Notamacropus eugenii: one gene and its partner. The protein of the gene in region 2 purifies or fractionates together with the protein of the main gene of each other region. This does not show direct contact. Links are inferred from orthologs where the notes say so. Each region holds a gene or a part of one and is shown on either strand. Other genes may lie near its edges.

Region 1 (8,294 bases), on a different chromosome or scaffold from region 2:
GCAGACCTGCTTGTCTAGGATATGGCAATAACTATTGCTGGCTGTGTTTTTAGCAATGTGATACAAGACTATTTGGTACCACTTACGACAGAAACTAACTGTGTGTGGCTTGTCATAAACAGGGAAATCCTCAGCTGAATAAAATTCTTCCTGAGATTTTTTTTGCTGAAGCTACTTCAGCTGCACCAACTATGCCACAAGTTTAGTTTCTAATTCAGTATAACAGAAATAACAACAATAACATTTCCATAGTTCCCTAAGGTATTGCAAAGCATTTGTCATACCCAGTGCAACCTTCTCATTTTACAAATGAGGAGACTGAGACCTGGGGAGGGTTAGTGGCTTTTTTTGGGGGACAAAGTTTTGAACCTAGGTCCCCTGACTCCAAATTTTGCTCACTTTCTACTACCCTCCAGGTCCTCCCTTTTATATTTGTTTCAGCAAGCTGTCTTCATTTGTTATCTTCTCAATAAATATTCACACACAGAATTTGGAACTCAAAATTAAAAAAACAAACAAATAAGAAATGTTAAAAATTGCTTTTACATGTAACTGGGAAAAAATAAAATGTTAAATATATTTTTAAAAGAAAAAATGAATATTCACATATAAATGTCTGCAGAGTATATCTAAAGGGTCATGATATGACAGCAGCCCACAATTTGAAATCAACATTTAGATTATAGAAATAACTAGCATTTATGTAACACTAAGGTTTGCAAATCACCGTCCCATATGCTATCTGGTTTGACAGAAACTTTCACACATTGATCTAGACAAAGACGAAAAAAACAAAAAGAAATTACTATCACAAGGCAGAAACTTAAACATACTTTAAACATTTTTCAGACAAATGCAGACATTTTTGTAATATGCTTTCTTGAAGATGAAAAAAATGTGCTTCAGGACCGTATTTATGGAAGGTACATTATCTTGTCAAAATCTCAAACGGCCAAAGGGTGTGAACTCCTCTGACCACTGCCAAGTTTAGATGTAAACAAATACTTAATACATTGCATCTCCTTTCCAAATAGAATAAAATGAATTGTTTCTGACTATGTTTTTGGAATTTTCGATTAGAAAAAAATTATGGGCAAAGCTGATTGCCTTTCCCCAGTGCAACTAATTTCCAAAAAGAGAAAGTACTTTTTAGAACAGTCTTAATTTAATTTAAATGTAGAAAAGGGGTGTTTTGTTGAATCTCCAAAATAAAAATCAACCACATTCCTGAATTTGAAAACCTCAGACTCCTGAAATCATCTTCTTGGGAATTAGGGTTTTAAAAAATAATTCACATTTTTACCAAGGCAAATTCCTAGGTATTAGCCAGTTTTTTAACCTAGAAAGATAAACAAACCCCAAGGCTATGAATGCAGAGCTCCCTTACAATAGCAGTCTGAAACTGGTTACAATTTTCAAAAGGTTATTTTGATTTTATAGCCATCCCACCTTCATTTACCTTCAGAAACAAAATATGATGTAGTATTTCCTAAACAACTCAGAATCATGGTATTTTATATGAAAGTTTGTATATTGACCTTTCCTGAACATATTTACTTTAAGAAACTCACAAACTGTTCAAGTTTACAAAACATTCTGTATTCAACTACAGTCCTGAAATTAGCAAAATATTTCTAATGCAGCCCACATGTTCACTGAATCTCAAGTGCAATGATTCTGGTATAAATATTACTTCTAACTGGAAAAAAAAATCACTTTCACTCCATGAGGCCAGGTTACCATCCAAGAGATAAATGTTCTGACAGTAGCCCACAGTGTGTAATTATAATAACAAGTCATGCCAGCTTTTTTTTTTAACAGGAAAATGCCTAGTTTGTCATTTAATGTCTAGCTGTTTTCTGTTCGTGTTTTTTCCCTTCTGCCCTTTTCAAAACAAAGGGTTAGTCCATTTCTCCATTTCTACTATGTACAAAAGCTATCACAATCCAAATTGAAGCAAAACTGCATTTAATTCCATTCAAATGAAACAGTTACCAAGCACCTTCAAAGAGCCAAGGTCTAGGGATAGAAGACCGAAAGAGGACAGACAGTTCCTTACCCTGGAAGGGCTTACATTCTACCTGCACAAAGAGAAGTAATACAATGTGATTTGAGGAAGGAGAAACACTAAAAGCCATAGGGAAAGTGAGGTACTTGATCTTGCATTTCTTTAGGAAACATAAGAAATTCTATCTATACCAGATAAATGGGAAAAGATAGGATGAGCATAGGAATAAGTGGGGAAATCTACAATTTTATGAAAACTTTCATACATGATGTCCACACATACACACAAAACTGCTAAGAACCAGAAAGTTTCAATACTGTCTAGGTCAAGAAGTATCTTATTATCTCGAAGGTCTTGGGTGAATTACTAGACATTTAGAAATATCCCACTAAAAAAGAAACTAGGCATGCATACGTACTCCCAAAGAAAGCTTAACCTTTGTACATGATGGGAAATAATTTGAGGTTCAGTCTTAGTACTTCTCTTTACACTTTTAAGTAAACATATGATGAGGCACCTTGTTAAAAACAAAAAAACAGCTACACAGAAAGATGAATCCTGGAAACATGCAAATAGGTCCAGCAGAGAGAGTGCCTGGGATCACGTCTCTCTCTCTCCCCTTTCTCTGTGTCTCTTCTATTTGTCTCTCTCTCCCTCTCTCTCTCTCTCTCTCTCTCTCTCTCTCTCTCCCCCTCTCCCTCCCCCCCCTCCCCCCCGCTTGGTCCCGCAAAGAAGCAGTACTCCATCTTCCTTAGCAAAGGTAAGAGGCAAAATGATCACAACAGTTGTGGGGAGGGAGAACCCCCCCACCAAACAAACCCAGGGAATTCCGGTTTCCAAGCAGGCTGTAGAGGAACAAAAATGTGCCGTGTGCCCCTGCTCCAAAGTGTGCCAGGCACCAGGCTGCACAAAAGACCAATCCACCCCCCCGGTCCACACCGACACACACGTACACCAAGCGCCAGGTCTTTTCCTGCCTGGCCAACGGGTGTGTGTTGGGGGGTGGGGGGAAAGGGAGGAGATGGAAGGGAACCAGAGAAGTCACATGTCACGGAGAAGATACAATGTGCAATCATCTGGCAATTAGAGAGAATCTCCCAAGATTAAACTGGACACTTTTCAACCTGACATTTCTGCTGTACTTTCCAAAGACTTAGTTGCCAGAGCCTGGGGGAGGGGAGGGGGGAGGGGGGAGGGGGCAGGGAGGCTGGAGAAGGATGGGTAGAGGAGGACGAGGGCTGGGCAGACGAGGGGGAGGGGAAGGGGTCGGAGGGGGATGGGGGAAAGAAGGGGGGCGGCGGAGGACAAGGGCAGAGGGAGGAGGAAGAAAGTAGGAGAAGATGGAAAAGAGGGGGGGGGAAATGGGGCAGGAGCCGGGAGTGAGGGGGTGGCAGGGGGCGGGCGGGGGAGGGGCGGGGGACCGCGGCCGCCCCCGGCCGGTTACCTGGGCTGGGGAGAGGGGGCGCAGGTCGCCGTCTCGTGCCGCTCCCGGAGGAGAAGGAGGAGGAGGAGGAGGGGGAGGCAGGGGCGTCCGCCGGCCGCGGACTCAGGGACCCCCGGAGCCCCCCGGGGCCCGGCCGCTCTCCTCCCTCGCTCGCTCTAGCCCCGCTCTGGCTCCCGCCGCTCCCGCGTCCTTCCCCTCGGGCTCGGGCTTCGGCTGCTGCCGCCCCGGACTCTGGGAAAAGTGAATCCACCAGCACCTCGCGGACCGCGCCGCCTCCGCCCGCGCCCGCGCCCCCCGCGCCCGCGCCCGCGCCGCCGACGGCTCCGGCTCCCAGCCGTGCGCGCGCCCCACGTCCCCGGAGCGGCTCCCTCCCCGCCCCTCCCTCCCGGAGCCGGGCGCGCGCCCGAGCCAGGGGGCGGGGGCAGCCCCGGGAGGCGCGCGCCCGCCCGCGGGCACGAGGCTCCTCCCTCCCGGCGAGGGGCGGGGGCAGCATGGGGTCGGGGTGGGGGTGGGGGGGAAGAGAAAGCAAGAAAAAGTAAAGTGACAGCTGAGCCCCGCGCGCCGAGGGGGGAGGGGAGGCCGGCTGGGAGGAGCTCGGAGGGGGAGGGGTGGCCGGGGTGGGGGAGGGGAGAGGGGGCGAGGGGACCTTGGCAGGGACGTGGCGGGCGCGCGCGTTAAAGGGAAACACTGACAAGGAGGGGGAGGGGAAAAGAGTCAGAAAAAGGTGGGGGGCGGGGGGATGGGGTGGAGTGGAGAGCTTCTCCCGAGGAGTGGGCAGGACGGAGGTGGGGAGGAGAATGTGGGCCCAGAAAGTCACCCAGGAGCAAGAGAGAACCCCCCCATCTGTCTGTCTGTCCTTCCTCTCCTCTCCCCTCTCTATCACACACACACACACACACACACACACACACACACAGACACGCACACACACACAGACATACACACCCATAGACACACACAGACGTACACACATACACACCCATAGACACACACACACACACACACACACACACACACACACACACACACACACACACACACACACACACACACACACACACACACACACACACACACACACACCCCTTCCCATGCACATCGGGAATTCAAAAAAGTTTAGCCAGGCTGCTGACCTCTGAAACCCACAGGACTGGGGATAGGGGAGGGCATCGGGGCCTCCGGGCTGCGGGACCTCTCTCTGCCCCGGACCGCGCCGCCTCCCCACCCACGACCGAAGCCACCTGGGGGCCCTCCCGCCGGGGAGGATGGGGTCCGGGACTCCACCTTGAATGGGGTGTGCGGGAGTCAGGCCTCTCCAAATCCAGGACCCAGGCAGCTGCCGAGGCTGGGCAGCCGTGGGATCCGGACCAGCTCCGGGAAAGCTGCAGACCTAGTGTAATTATGCCAGACGAAGCCCTCCTGGTGACAAGGGCCAGAGTCCTGGGCGACACAGAGGCCGCAGGCTACAACTAGAGAAATCAGGGTAGGAAAATCCCGGGGGAAAACCACCCAAAGCCTAATTCCACATTCCCCGGATAAGAAAACCCTTTCCCCCAGTGACTCCTTCAAACAGGGCCAATCTCTCAAACCCCCTAAGCCACTGGTAGAATCAGGTGCTGAAAACTGACTTGACCAATAGAAAGAACCTAGACCTGTACATCGCTACAGGGCAAACTGGATGCCAGCTTTGTTTATCACTTAGAGCATTGGAGACATAAACCATTAAGAAAAAAGAATATTCTGGGATTAGAAATGGCATATCCTGGGATTATTAAACAGAAGATTCAGACTGCAAAAGCAGTGACATCAGTGTGAAAAGACAGATGTGGTTCTATAGGGAAATGAAAGAAGGAAAGGGAGGTGATACGCTCACATACATATGTATACATATACATGCATGCATAGAAATGCACAGAGATTGAAATCTCTAGTAAAAGTGCATTATCTAAACTTTTCCTGATCCTGAATATGTCATAATCTAAACAAATACAGCATTGAACAAAATTCATTAAATAATGGAATTTATTCTCCTGATTTATCTACAAGGTAGGAAGATGCATTATCTTTCTTCATAGAGCAGCAGTCACAGAAAGATTAAAGGTCTCAATATTTATTCAACTAGCTGGTGACAGGGGATGATAGAATCCCTGTCTCCCGGCTACATTAAAGCTGGGCTTCTCCTCCATCTAATAAGCTACTCTTATCTCCAACCAGTGATACTTTGTTGTCAATAGTATCATTTTTTACAATGAATGATGGATAACAAAATATCTCGCTATCAGAGAAAGTATCAAAATTGTTTTATTTTAACAAAGTCCTAGGATTGTTCATTCATCGCTATCAGCAGACCAACTGTAGAACTTTATCATGTCCCGTCCTTGTGAAAATAATGGATAATGTTTTATCCTTTCAAAAGCTAAAACTTTTGCTTCTATGTTATTTCATGAGGAGAGACTTGTGTGGCTATGTGGCTAGACCTTTGTGGCTCTACTCCCCAAGTCCAGTTCAGGAAAACATCACAAATTCAACTCCTTTTCTACCTCAGAGAACAGCCCTATAAACATTGCCATGGTGTGATAACTACAGTTCTTACAGAAATCTCCCAGAGTATTCTCTCACGGGAAAAACCAAATGATCTCCAAATAAATATCATCTCTTCTGTGTATTTCAGACTTAGGCCCATCAATCCTTCATGTCCATATTCATTTTGTCTCCTAATAATAACACTAAGAGCTCGTATTTTTATAGTGCTTTAAGATTTGCAAAAGCATTTTATAAATACAAATTCATTTCATCCTCACAACAACCCCTGAGAGGTAGCTGCTATTACTAACTCCCTTTTACAGTGGAGGAAACTGAGGCAGATGCGAAGTGACTTGTCCAGGGTCACATAGCTAGTGAGTGTGTTGGGCAGGATTTGAATTCAGCTCTTCCTAAGTATAGGGCAGCTAGGAGATAAAGTAGATAAAGTTCTGGACCTGCATGTAAAAGCAAGGACCCCAACATACACAGGAGGGCCTGCTACTTAGGTTCTTACATCTGCTTTTCTAAAAGGAAAGCAACTTTTGAGGGGTTAACAATCTCCTTTAATTGAGCACATATCATTCACCAATAGAGATAAATACCGCAAGAGAAATAAAGACTAGCAGACAGGCTTCCAACTCTCTAACCATAAGCAATACATATTTCACAGATTAACAGAAGGTCCAGCTGTCTGACCATAGCTACCAGAAAGGGAAGCACCAACTTCTGGGTTTTCAAAGCCCAGGGACTCAGTGGCTACCCAGAGTCTCATCTGGCCAAATAACCTTCTTCCAATGTGTGAGTCCTCACCTCAGTGTATTTATATGCTTTTCAGAGCCAGAGGGCATGACTCTCTGACCAGTGCCTCAACAGAAAAAAAAAAAGGTACTTCTACAAAACAACTCCCCTAATCAAGCTTCCCTTAATGGGCAGGCCCCTTAATGGGTGGAGAAGATCTTCTTTAATCATATCAAAATAATTAACAATACAAATACATATACTGTTTCTAGTTAAAGAAACTCTTGTTTCTGTACTTTACCCCCAGTAAAGACTCTTGGTCGATAAAGGCAAGATTCAAACGTAGGCACTTGATTATACTAAAACAAAAACAGCAAAAGATCCTACTTTGGTTGCCATTACACTGGAGTCAGGAAGACTTGTCTTCCTGAGTTCAAAACTGGCCTCAGACATTTACTATTTGGATAACCCTGGTCAAGTCACTTACCCCTGTTTGCCTCAGTTTCTTCATCTGTAAAATGAGCTGGAGAAGGAAATGGCAAACCACTCTAGGACTTCTACCAAGAAAACCCCAAATGGGGTCAAAGTACAAGCTCAGTACTCTAACTATTATCTCTCCCTTGTGTCAGAGGCAGGAATCAATCCCATATGTTCTGACACAGTACAGGATTTAGGGGAGACAATCTAAGTTTGAATCTCCATTCTGCCATTTTCTACCTGAGTGAATCTGAGAATCCTCTGACACCCATGTCAGTAAAATAAAAGGGTTGGACAAAATTACCTCTAAGATCCCTTCCAGTTCTAAATCTTTAACCCTATGATTCCAATACCTCCTGAATAAAGCGTTCAAGGCCTCGTTGGCTTGAGTTTACCCTTTAGTCTTATTTCATACCTATTTGCAGAGTTCCAGACAAAATCCATCTCTGTTTCTTGTCCTGTCATCTCCCATATCTTTCCTCATATTATTCCTCGGGTCTGGAATGGATCCTCACCAACATTCCTACCTCCATCTAATGCAGTCCTTCCCTCTCTGCCAAGGCCTAATTCGGGTGCCAACTTCTCCACTACCTCTTGATAACTCAAGATTAGCAGCCTGACAATCCATAGTGTAATTTTGAAAAGAATGGTGTTGATTGAAATTTAGTGATCATTGTGTTAGGGAGGATTAAAAACTCTGAATGGGGAGACATGCACCTGGATTTTACTCCTCATTCTGCTGTTCACTGTGTGACTTTGGGGAAGTCATTTCCCATCACTAATCTCAGTTTCCCACCCTAAAAAAGGTGGGGCTTGGAATAGAGGATTCCTAAGGTCCATTGCAGCTCACAATCTTTGATTTATGGAATACACTCTACAAACCATTTTTTTTTCAATTCATGGGCTAGAAAATTAAGTTCACCCTACTGATTGTATAAATACACTTAAAATGCTTTAATAATGTAAATCACATACGTCATTATTTTGGCTTATTTTCATAACAAGTCACTTTTACAAAGCATGCTAAGATCTACAGAGTCCTTTCTTCACAACAGTCTTTTAAGGTACATAATGCAAGTAATAGAGGTCCCATTTTATGGAAGA
Region 2 (9,092 bases):
TCCCTACAATCCAACCTCACAGATTGATGCAAGGTTGGCCTTCTCCAAGGAACTTAATGTGACTGGATTGGGATTCTTAAGAGGTTTTTGGTTTTCTACCTATGAAAAACAGCTAGAAATGAGATATTAAAAAACCAAAGGATAATCATAATAAGTAAAGTCTTTAAGTAAGAGCTGTGATATTTTTAATTTGCCCTTGATCATGTTGCTAAGATATGGTACGAGGCAGTGTGGTCTAGAGAAGAGGAAATCTCTCTTACGATCTCTGTCTTTGCTTCCCTCCTCTGTCTTCCCCCCTCTCTTAAATATTAAAATGCTAATGTAAACGTGAGGTGTTGCTTTGTGGATGGTCTGTAAGTTTTGAGTATAGGGACTGTCTTCTGTTTCCTTTCTATCGCTAGCAGCACCAGTGCACACACTATCTTAAACTGAAAGTATCAGACGTAAAGATGATTCACTTGTAAAGCTACTTTTCTCTTACCACTGAGAAAAAAATAGGGAATGCATGAAGTACTTTGGTAGACAAAAAATATTCCTTTAGACTTTTAGATAAGATACTGAAGTAAACAAATGAAGAAGCTTGTAGAATCTCCACCTTTAGAGGGCTTTTAAAACATGACTTTCATCAACTTGGACCAGTTTTACCCAAAGGGAGGGAAAGGGCTAAACTACTTTGGGAGAATGGTTCTAGAACAGAGAACCTTCAGCCTTGAGACCACATGTGGCCTCCTAGGTCCCTGGGTGTGGTCTCTGGACTGAATTTTACAGAACAAATCCTTTAATTAAGAGGACTTGTTCTGTGAAGTTTGGATTCAAAGGGCCACATGTGGCTTAGAGGTCACAGGTTCCCCACTCCTATTCTGGACCCATGGCTAAAACTTGTTTTGGCATGAAAGAAGGGAGGTCTCCCTAGGGCCCAGCTCACCTCAATGAGTTCATAGAGCACAGCAGTGCCTAATCCAGCCTCAGCCACACAACTCAGTGCCTGTGAGATCCTAGAAAAGAAAACCCAACCTCAATGTTAGGAAAATTCCTTTCCACTTCTTGAAAAAGAAATATTCTATGTTGGTACCCTTAACCTGTGTGAGACGTGCCCTAGTTCTATCTTATGTTAGTCTAAGCAACACTTACTTGAGAATCTGTTCATCTGACAGCCCTCGTGGGTTACGGATAGAGATCTTAGGCACCTCATTGGGATACTGGAAAAAAGAGACCAGATCAGTATGTAGTGCCCTCTTTCCATACCCCAGCATTTCTCCCCGATTTGTGGTCACCCAGTAGGCACCTCACCTGTGCAGGGACCAGCAACACCAAGGTAAAGCAGACAAACTGTGAATCCTGGTCTTCAGCTGTGGCAGGGTGCAGAGTGATGCAGATTTCCCATGGTGAAGACCTGTGGGTGGTCAGTATGATGATCCAAGATGTGACTGAGTGGGAACTGGGGGGTGAGGGGTGGGATGAGTTGAGAATTCCCTCCCTAGAGAAATGAGAAGGGAATCTGTCCTATGGTAAGTTAAAGGTATCACTCTTGTTTCTTTGAGAAACAGTTTCCTCCACTTCTCACATTCTCTTAGGACTAGATGATGGTCTGAGTAAATATCATTCCCTTATTGCTCTCAGAAGCCCTTCTCAGTCCCAGCTGGGTACTCACCTTCCATTTCCTTGAACCACCTGTAATTCATCCAGGTAGATAGACTCCAATACCTCCACTTCAGAGGGTAGAACCCTGGGGAAAGAGATGGCTGATGTACCATATCCTTCCTTACTGTAGTCCCATGAGGAAGGATGCTTGTCCTAGAGGGTACTGAAGAGGAGGGTTGGCAGTTTAAGGTTCTATGCCGTTTTCAATCTTCCTTTTCCACAAGTTGGGGATCATTTTTCATAGCTATCACAGGCTTGGGGATTTTTATAACCATATAGAAAATTCATATTTGTTGCTATCTTTCTGTAAGCTTCCTCAAAATGGAGAAACATTAAGAGACCCTCCTTTTCCCAAACAGGGGCCCAATCAGGGCCCAAGAGGAGAGACCTTGCTGTTTTGAGAAGCACAGCAGTTCAAGGACATCTCTTAGGTCCCAGGTCACTCCTTTTCCATACCTACTTTAAGATGGGAGGAAACAAAAGTGAGTAATAGTAATAAAAACAGAATTGTAGAGCATGAAGGAGCCTCAAAATCCAACTCTTTCATCTTATAGACTAGAAAGAAAAACTGTGACTTGTCTAAGGTCACATAATTGATAAGAGGCAAAGCTAGCATGAGAATCCAGGCCTTCAGGTACACAAACCAGTTGGCCTTTTGGTGTCTATTCGAGTTGAGAGGTAACAGGTTCAAATCTAAGCTGTGTTATTCACAGTCTTGGGCAAGTAAACTTATTTTTTATGCGAGGGAGTTGTATTCACAAGGCTTCTAGTGCTAAATCTGTGATCCTACCACCTCACCACTGCTCTAAACCAGAAACAGGAATGCTGGTATGTGGCACCGTAGTCCCCAATAGAATTATCAGGTATCCGAGACCCTTCACGGGCTCTTAAGTCCAGGCCTGTTCCTATGGGTGTTCAAAACTGAAGCAGTCACAGGCTTTGGGGAAAGTATTTCTTCCTCTCTCTCCCCCAAATTCCTGGCTCTAAAACAAGAGGAGAGAAAGGGATGGCTGGTCAGCAAAACGCCTTCGACGTGCCCGCACGGCCCCACCTGCGGCCGCCCGGGGGTCAGGCCCACGCCTCTTTAATAACAGGGTGTTTGGTGACAGCAGCAGGATGCCCGATCCCGGCGACTAGCTCGGCTGTGCCCAGCACTCCGCCCATGCTAGAAGCCCGGGACGCTTGGGGGCGCCTGCATCCCCCACATCGATGCCTACCAACGCGGGGCACGGCGGAAGGGTGGGGGTGGGGGACGGCGGGGACGCCACTAGTCCTCGCCCCGGCTGGGCCCCCCGAGCTTTGGCTCTCCCGGACGGCCCCGGAGCCGCCCTCGCCACGGCCCGGCCCTGGGTCCCGCCGCTGCAGGAGGTCGTGGGGGCGGAGGAGCCGGCGCTCGGCTGGGGTCGCGGGGGGCCTGGCCCGCTCCCGTGGGGCTCGGGGCCATCAGGAGGCGGACACCCGGGCGGACGAGGCTGGGGGCGTGGGCCGGCTCGGCGGCCCGACCCCCGGGGTGCCCCGCCTTCGAGTTCCGTCCCCCTCAAATCTACCCCCGGGCCTCCGGGGGGCGGCCGTGGACCCGCCCCGCCCCAGGCCGGGAGCGGCCGTCAGCCAGGTCCCGCGTCCCCGGCAGTTACCAGTCCTCCTCCCCAGCTGCCGCCGCGGCCGCCGCCATCTCCTCCCGCTGCCTGCGCCGGAACCGGAAGTGCCTTCCCCCAGGCCTGGAGGCGGAGAGGCCGAGGGCCCGGCCACCAGCCGCCGTTGCTAGGCGACCGTGGACGCCGGGGTCCTCAGCGGGGCCTGAGGCGGCGGGGCGACGGTTCGGAGCTGCCTGCAGAATTGCCTCCATGGAGCGGGCCGCTAAGCCCTCCCTCCGCGTCGCCCTGGCCCGGGGGCCTCGGCCCGCCTCTGAGGGAGGGAGAGGGAGGGGAAAGGGCCCTTCGGGGAGACCTCCTGCCGGCGCTGCGAACTAACTCGGTCTGGCAACCTGGAGGGGCTGCCCGGGGGGCGGGGGCGGAGCCCGGCCCGGGTCCCGCGGCCTGGGGAGCTCTAGCTCCAAGGTGGGGGGTAGTTAGGGGGGGCTGGCGAGGCCCAGGGGCCCGGGGTCAAGGGGACCAGCTGGTGAGGGAGGGAGCCCATTTATCTTGTTTCAGGCCTGGAGAGGTTGGGGGTGGGGGGAGGCCTGACACAGACCCCTGGCGGTAGGAGGTCAAGGGTCAGGGCTCCTGAGGCTGGGGTCTGGGGCTGAGATCTGGGGCCAAGCTGAGGAGGGTGGGGGGCAGGGACAGGGCTGGCTAGTTAGAATGAGGCTGAGGAGGGTGGGGGGCAGGAATAAGAGAGGAAATAGCACCGCTCCCCATGTCTTCTCATTCGAATCTGTGTTGCCTCCCGCCCCCCAGGACTCCCAAGTTTGTGGAATTGCCCCAGGGGCTACTAAGCTTAATCAGCTCTCCCTCCTTCAGACCCAGAGATCTGGAGCCTTGATGATGGAGAAGTACCACGTGCTGGAAATGATTGGCGAGGGCTCCTTTGGAAGAGTGTACAAGGGTCGGAAAAAATACAGTGCCCAGGTACTTAGGAGAGAGGGGATGTTCTCTGAAAGGAAGAACACTGTTAAAGGGATCAAAATTTAGCCCGGATCAGCTGAGGATCTCTCAGCATCTCTTTTGGTTGGGAACTGGTCCTAAATGGGAGAATTCATCTTCCTGAGAGTTTTAGTTGAGCTAGAAAGAGATGCCAGCCCCACTTCTCTTTCTCCTTCTTTTCTTCCTTTTCCTCCATTCTCCAAATAACTCTTTCTAAGACTTGAACAGATGTCAAACAGTCTTATCTTTATGACCCCAGGATGGGCACAGAGCAACTAGAAGGCCTTTTTTCAGGGAGATATTGCCGTTTGAGGAGTGGGTTCAGGGAAGCTTGGCTCAAGCTCATGGGATTGTGGAGAGAAGGAAGGCAAGAAACTGGCATAAAAGTTGGATTTTGGAGAGCTGAAGGTGATGCTGAGGAAAGAGCCACACAAAGCAAGAAGCTTCTTTCAGGGAAGGCCCTGAACTCTTCTCTTCTTGCCTTGGGAAGGTGGTGGCTCTGAAGTTCATTCCAAAGTTGGGGCGCTCAGAAAAAGAGCTGAGGAACCTACAGCGGGAAATTGAAATCATGCGGGGTCTGAGGCATCCCAACATTGTACAGATGCTCGACAGCTTTGAAACCGACAAGGAGGTAAGTGAAGGTTAGTCCTTTTCCCCATCTCCAGATCCTATCATAGGGGTCCCAGGGTTTGGTATATAGGGGAGAATGTTCCTATCTCTTGATGTCTTGAGTTAAATCTGTATTCATGTTCTCCCCACAGGTAGTGGTAGTAACAGACTATGCTGAAGGGGAGCTCTTTCAGATCTTAGAAGATGATGGGAAGCTGCCTGAGGACCAGGTATCCCTGACTTGCCTTCTGCCCAGTCTCCCCACTGATCAGGACTAGTAGACAGGGTTCGGAGCACTGGGAATCTAACATTTTGGGGGCTGAAAGGAGTTATAGTATCCTAAGTATCATTAGAGAGGTACTGGTCTGGTGGGAGTTGATGGTGTCCTAAGAAGACTGAGAGGGAAGAGTCAGATGGGATTCCTACCTACCCTGCCCATATCACTTCCAAGTTGCAGGACTATGATTTGCCTGAGTTTTCATCATTAACTGTTCTAATTTTTGAGTTTCTCTGTGTTCTGACTTAGCAAATATTGTACTGGGAACCCATGGAGTAAGGGACCTTAGCAGAGCTAGGCTCTTGGGGGGTGAGGGAGCTTCAAGGGGAACAGAAAATAGAGGTTTGAGAAAGCTGGTAAAGGAGTCCATCAGCAGAACCATTTGAATTAGCAGTAGGATAGCTCAGAGTGAACAACTTCAGATTCACTTATTTCCTTTTCTTGTTTCTCTCTTTCTTCCTGATTGGTTGATCCTTAGGTTCAGGCCATTGCAGCTCAGTTGGTATCAGCCCTATATTATCTGCACTCCCACCGTATCCTGCATCGTGACATGAAGCCTCAGAATATTCTTCTAGCCAAGGGTGGTGGCATCAAGCTCTGTGACTTTGGGTGGGAATCCCAGACATCCTGTTGCTCCTCTGGGGGAGGAAAATGGGGTCCCCTGTAGATTGATGGGCTAGACTAGATTAAGGGTTTGATTTGAGAAACTTGTTTCAGTATTGGGGTTGGTGGGAGGAGGGATTCTTCTGGACTCTAGGGAGCCAAATCAAGGGAGATTCTTTTTAGTTAGGTTGGAGGAACAGTTTGGCTGAATAGGAGTGAGAAAGGGTTAGGGTTAAAGACTTTTTCTTGGTCTGGTTTGTGATGGGTATGTATGAAGTCAGATTTGACTTTTCTTGTACAACTTCTCACCTTATGCCGTTAATCCTCTTCCTTCCCCTTCTCCCACTCTCTCTCTCCCAGTTTTGCCCGTGCCATGAGTACAAATACAATGGTATTGACATCCATCAAAGGCACACCATTGTACATGTCCCCAGAGCTGGTGGAAGAGCGTCCATATGACCACACTGCTGACTTATGGTCAGTGGGCTGCATTCTTTATGAACTGGCTGTGGGTACACCACCTTTCTACACGACCAGCATCTTCCAGCTTGTTAGCCTAATCTTAAAGGACCCAGTGCGATGGCCTTCTACAATAAGCCAATGCTTTAAGGTGGGAATATGGATACGATGGAGTGGGGAAGGGGGAAGTTAGGACAAGGAAAAGAAGATCTTTTCCTGGAAATCTATTTCCTTTTTCCCAATGCCCTTTTCTGGGTTTGTGGCAGAATTTGAATAAAAATCATTTGTCATTGATTGTTGAAGATGGATGGGAAATGCAGGTGCTGACTGTCTCAGAGATGGTCTCTCTGCTTCTGTCCTGGGGCTGAGCTTTTACTGTGACTTGGGAATCAGTGTACTGCCATCTAACCTTGGCCATTTTGGCCCTCTCTTTAGCCTGTAACATTTTTCTTTTACCATGAATTGATTTCCTCTGCTCCAGAATTACATGCTGATTAATTGAACATAGGAATAGATGAGTTGTAGGGGATGCCCTTCAAGGGGCTTTACTGGCAGAGATGCCAGCAGTGTCGAAATTTCTTTCCCTCATTTTTTTTCAATCAATTGACTGATCATTGAGAATCTATTAAGTGCTGACTACGTCAGGTACTGTGGAAATAGAGACAGAAGAGAAACACCCTCTGCCAGAAGTTCAAGTTCTAGCAAGGGGAACAATGAGTACATACACAGGTACTCTTCTCTTCTGAGGCCAGTGGAACTGAGGCTCCCAACATTCATGTGTTGAGACCCAGGGGGTCTGTTCTACCTTCTGAAAACAGAAACAATGCTCATTGAGAACCAGTGGCAGGGATGCGACCAAGACCAGCCCAGCTACTCCGAAAATAATCATTCTAGCATGTATTGAGCCATCATTTTGTGCAGTGTACCTGGGGATACTGAGACAGAAGTGAGATTGTTCCTGTGCTCAGGGAATGTATAATGGGGGTGGAAACAGGTATACCACAAACAAGTCTAAGTCAGATATGAAATAGCCTTAGAGGAGATGGTACAAGCAGCTGGTAGGGTGGCCAAGAAAAATGCCTTTCTCCTGAAAGGAAACCAGAAATTCTAGGAATTGGAGGGGAGGAGCCTTCCAGTTATGAGGGGAGGATGGTATACTCCTTGGTTTGGGGAAAGGGATGCTGAAGGCAGAAGGGAAGAGTGATGGAGTACTTTCCCCATAGAGTTTCCTGCAGGGACTGCTCACCAAGGATCCTCATCAGCGGCTGGCTTGGCCTGAGCTCTTGTACCATCCATTCATTGCTGGCCGAGTCACTGGTGAGTTCTATTCCATCTGCAGGACCTTGTTTGACCTCCATTTCCTGGATCCCATCACACAATGGTCACAGAATCTCAAGAGTTGGAAGGGAATCCTTTGATTTTGTACAGCCTTTATTCCCTTGTTGTACCTCAAACCTTTTTAGGCTAGGGCTTTAGCTATCATTTTGCCCTCCTTGAATTCCAACATGGCATTCTCTCCAACTGTCCCTCTGCAGTGATTTCTGAACCAGTGGCTGCTGATCTGGGAACCCCGTTCACCAGAAGACTACCCCCAGAGCTTCAGGTTCTAAAGGAAGAACAGGCACACTGCCTGGCCCCCAAGTCTGGTCAGTCCCGTATTTTGCGCCAAGCCCGAAAGCACATGGCTGAGGAGGCTAGGCAGAAGGTATTTGGGACAGAGGTGAAATCCAAGTCATTTTCTTGAGGAGGGAGGAAATTTGCATTGGAGAGGGCCGGAGAGGTGACTGCACTCGCCATAGGAAATTGGAGAAGGAACAAGAGTTTCTAGAATTTGGAGAAGTCTTAGGACAAGCTTCAGGTAATCCTGTGTTGACCAAGTCTCTCCAATCTAATTCCCCCCATAGAAACATTTAAACCCTGGAGTTTCCCTTGAGCAAGTAGACAAAGCAAGCAAGGTGGATCCTGCTACAGCCTTCTTGCCCAGCCTGAGAGCCACTTCTCAGGATCTTGAACTCTGCTCTGGTGATCCTTCCCTAGAAGACAAGAATGAGTGGGCAGATTGGGGAGCTAGTGAGCCTCCCCTTCCTACTGGGTAAGAAGGCAGATGTAGCCACAGACTGGAGAAGTGGTTAGGTACTTGCAGTGGGCTCAGCCCTGGTCAGAGGAAGCACAGTGTGGTCACCAGCTCTTAGGACTAATCTTGTAAAGGCAGTCCTTGTGGCTCAGGATTCCCAACTGAAGGGAAGAAAATTATTTCCATCATAAGATTAACTACAGTTATCCTTTCCACATTGCAGGGGTTAGGGGTGTGTCATCCCCACAATCTGGAAAAATCTGTGTAAAATTTTTTGGCCCTCCTTTTGTACCAGAGAAGTCTGAATTTTTTCTTTTTTTTTTATGGGGTGTTTACAGAACCTTATTGTAAAATTTGGGTTAAGTATTTTTTGTGTCATCTGCTGGCCATTGTGTGTCGACTGTGGCTTCTGCAAAACTCCCCAAAAGTTATCATTTAATTTCTTTTGCCAACCTGTGATGTATAGAAACCATGATGGGGAATGTTGTAATGTGGAAGGGATAACGGTGTAGCCATTGGAACCCTTAGATGCAAAATGCTAGAGAAGGCTTGAATCGGTGGGTGGCTGGGTGGGCAGGCAGTGTTCTGCCCAAGGAGATTCTCCCACTGTGGTAGAATTTCTTATCTTGAACACATCTTAAAAGAAGACATGTCCACATCGATAGCCTCACATGGCTTTTTCCACTTTCTGTTTGAGGTTTGGGGGAGGGGATGGTTCATGTACCCTGTGCCTCTCAGAACTGGAGCTCAGTTTCTTCAGTATCTTCCCTGACAGAGAACCCCAGGTCACCCAGGAATATGATCAGGAGTTCCCAGAACTAAAACAAGAAACTGAGGAAAACATGAA

What was found.
Region 1: the proteins of RNF25 (region 2) and UBE2E2 purify together in Homo sapiens (affinity purification with mass spectrometry; 3 studies listed by BioGRID and IntAct, counting the BioPlex papers as one, with this or other methods). This does not show direct contact. The link is inferred for Notamacropus eugenii from reciprocal best matches to the Homo sapiens genes RNF25 and UBE2E2.

The regions. Positions count from the first base shown.
Region 1 is NC_092874.1:31,287,241-31,295,534, forward strand, and holds the start of UBE2E2 (ubiquitin-conjugating enzyme E2 E2), read right to left. Parts: upstream 3,750-8,294; 5' UTR 3,453-3,749; intron 2,979-3,452; exon of another isoform or gene 2,828-2,978; intron 1-2,827.
Region 2 is NC_092877.1:317,171,514-317,180,605, forward strand, and holds the start of RNF25 (E3 ubiquitin-protein ligase RNF25), read right to left. Parts: upstream 3,488-9,092; coding exon 3,276-3,487; intron 1,727-3,275; coding exon 1,652-1,726; intron 1,394-1,651; coding exon 1,291-1,393; intron 1,200-1,290; coding exon 1,132-1,199; intron 996-1,131; coding exon 926-995; intron 1-925. Other genes in the region: STK36 (serine/threonine-protein kinase 36), read left to right, coding at 4,122-4,208, 4,714-4,854, 4,985-5,062, 5,588-5,718, 6,073-6,322, 7,395-7,488, 7,707-7,876, 8,076-8,263 and 1 more. UniProt on the Homo sapiens protein: E3 ubiquitin-protein ligase that plays a key role in the RNF14-RNF25 translation quality control pathway, a pathway that takes place when a ribosome has stalled during translation, and which promotes ubiquitination and degradation of translation factors on stalled ribosomes.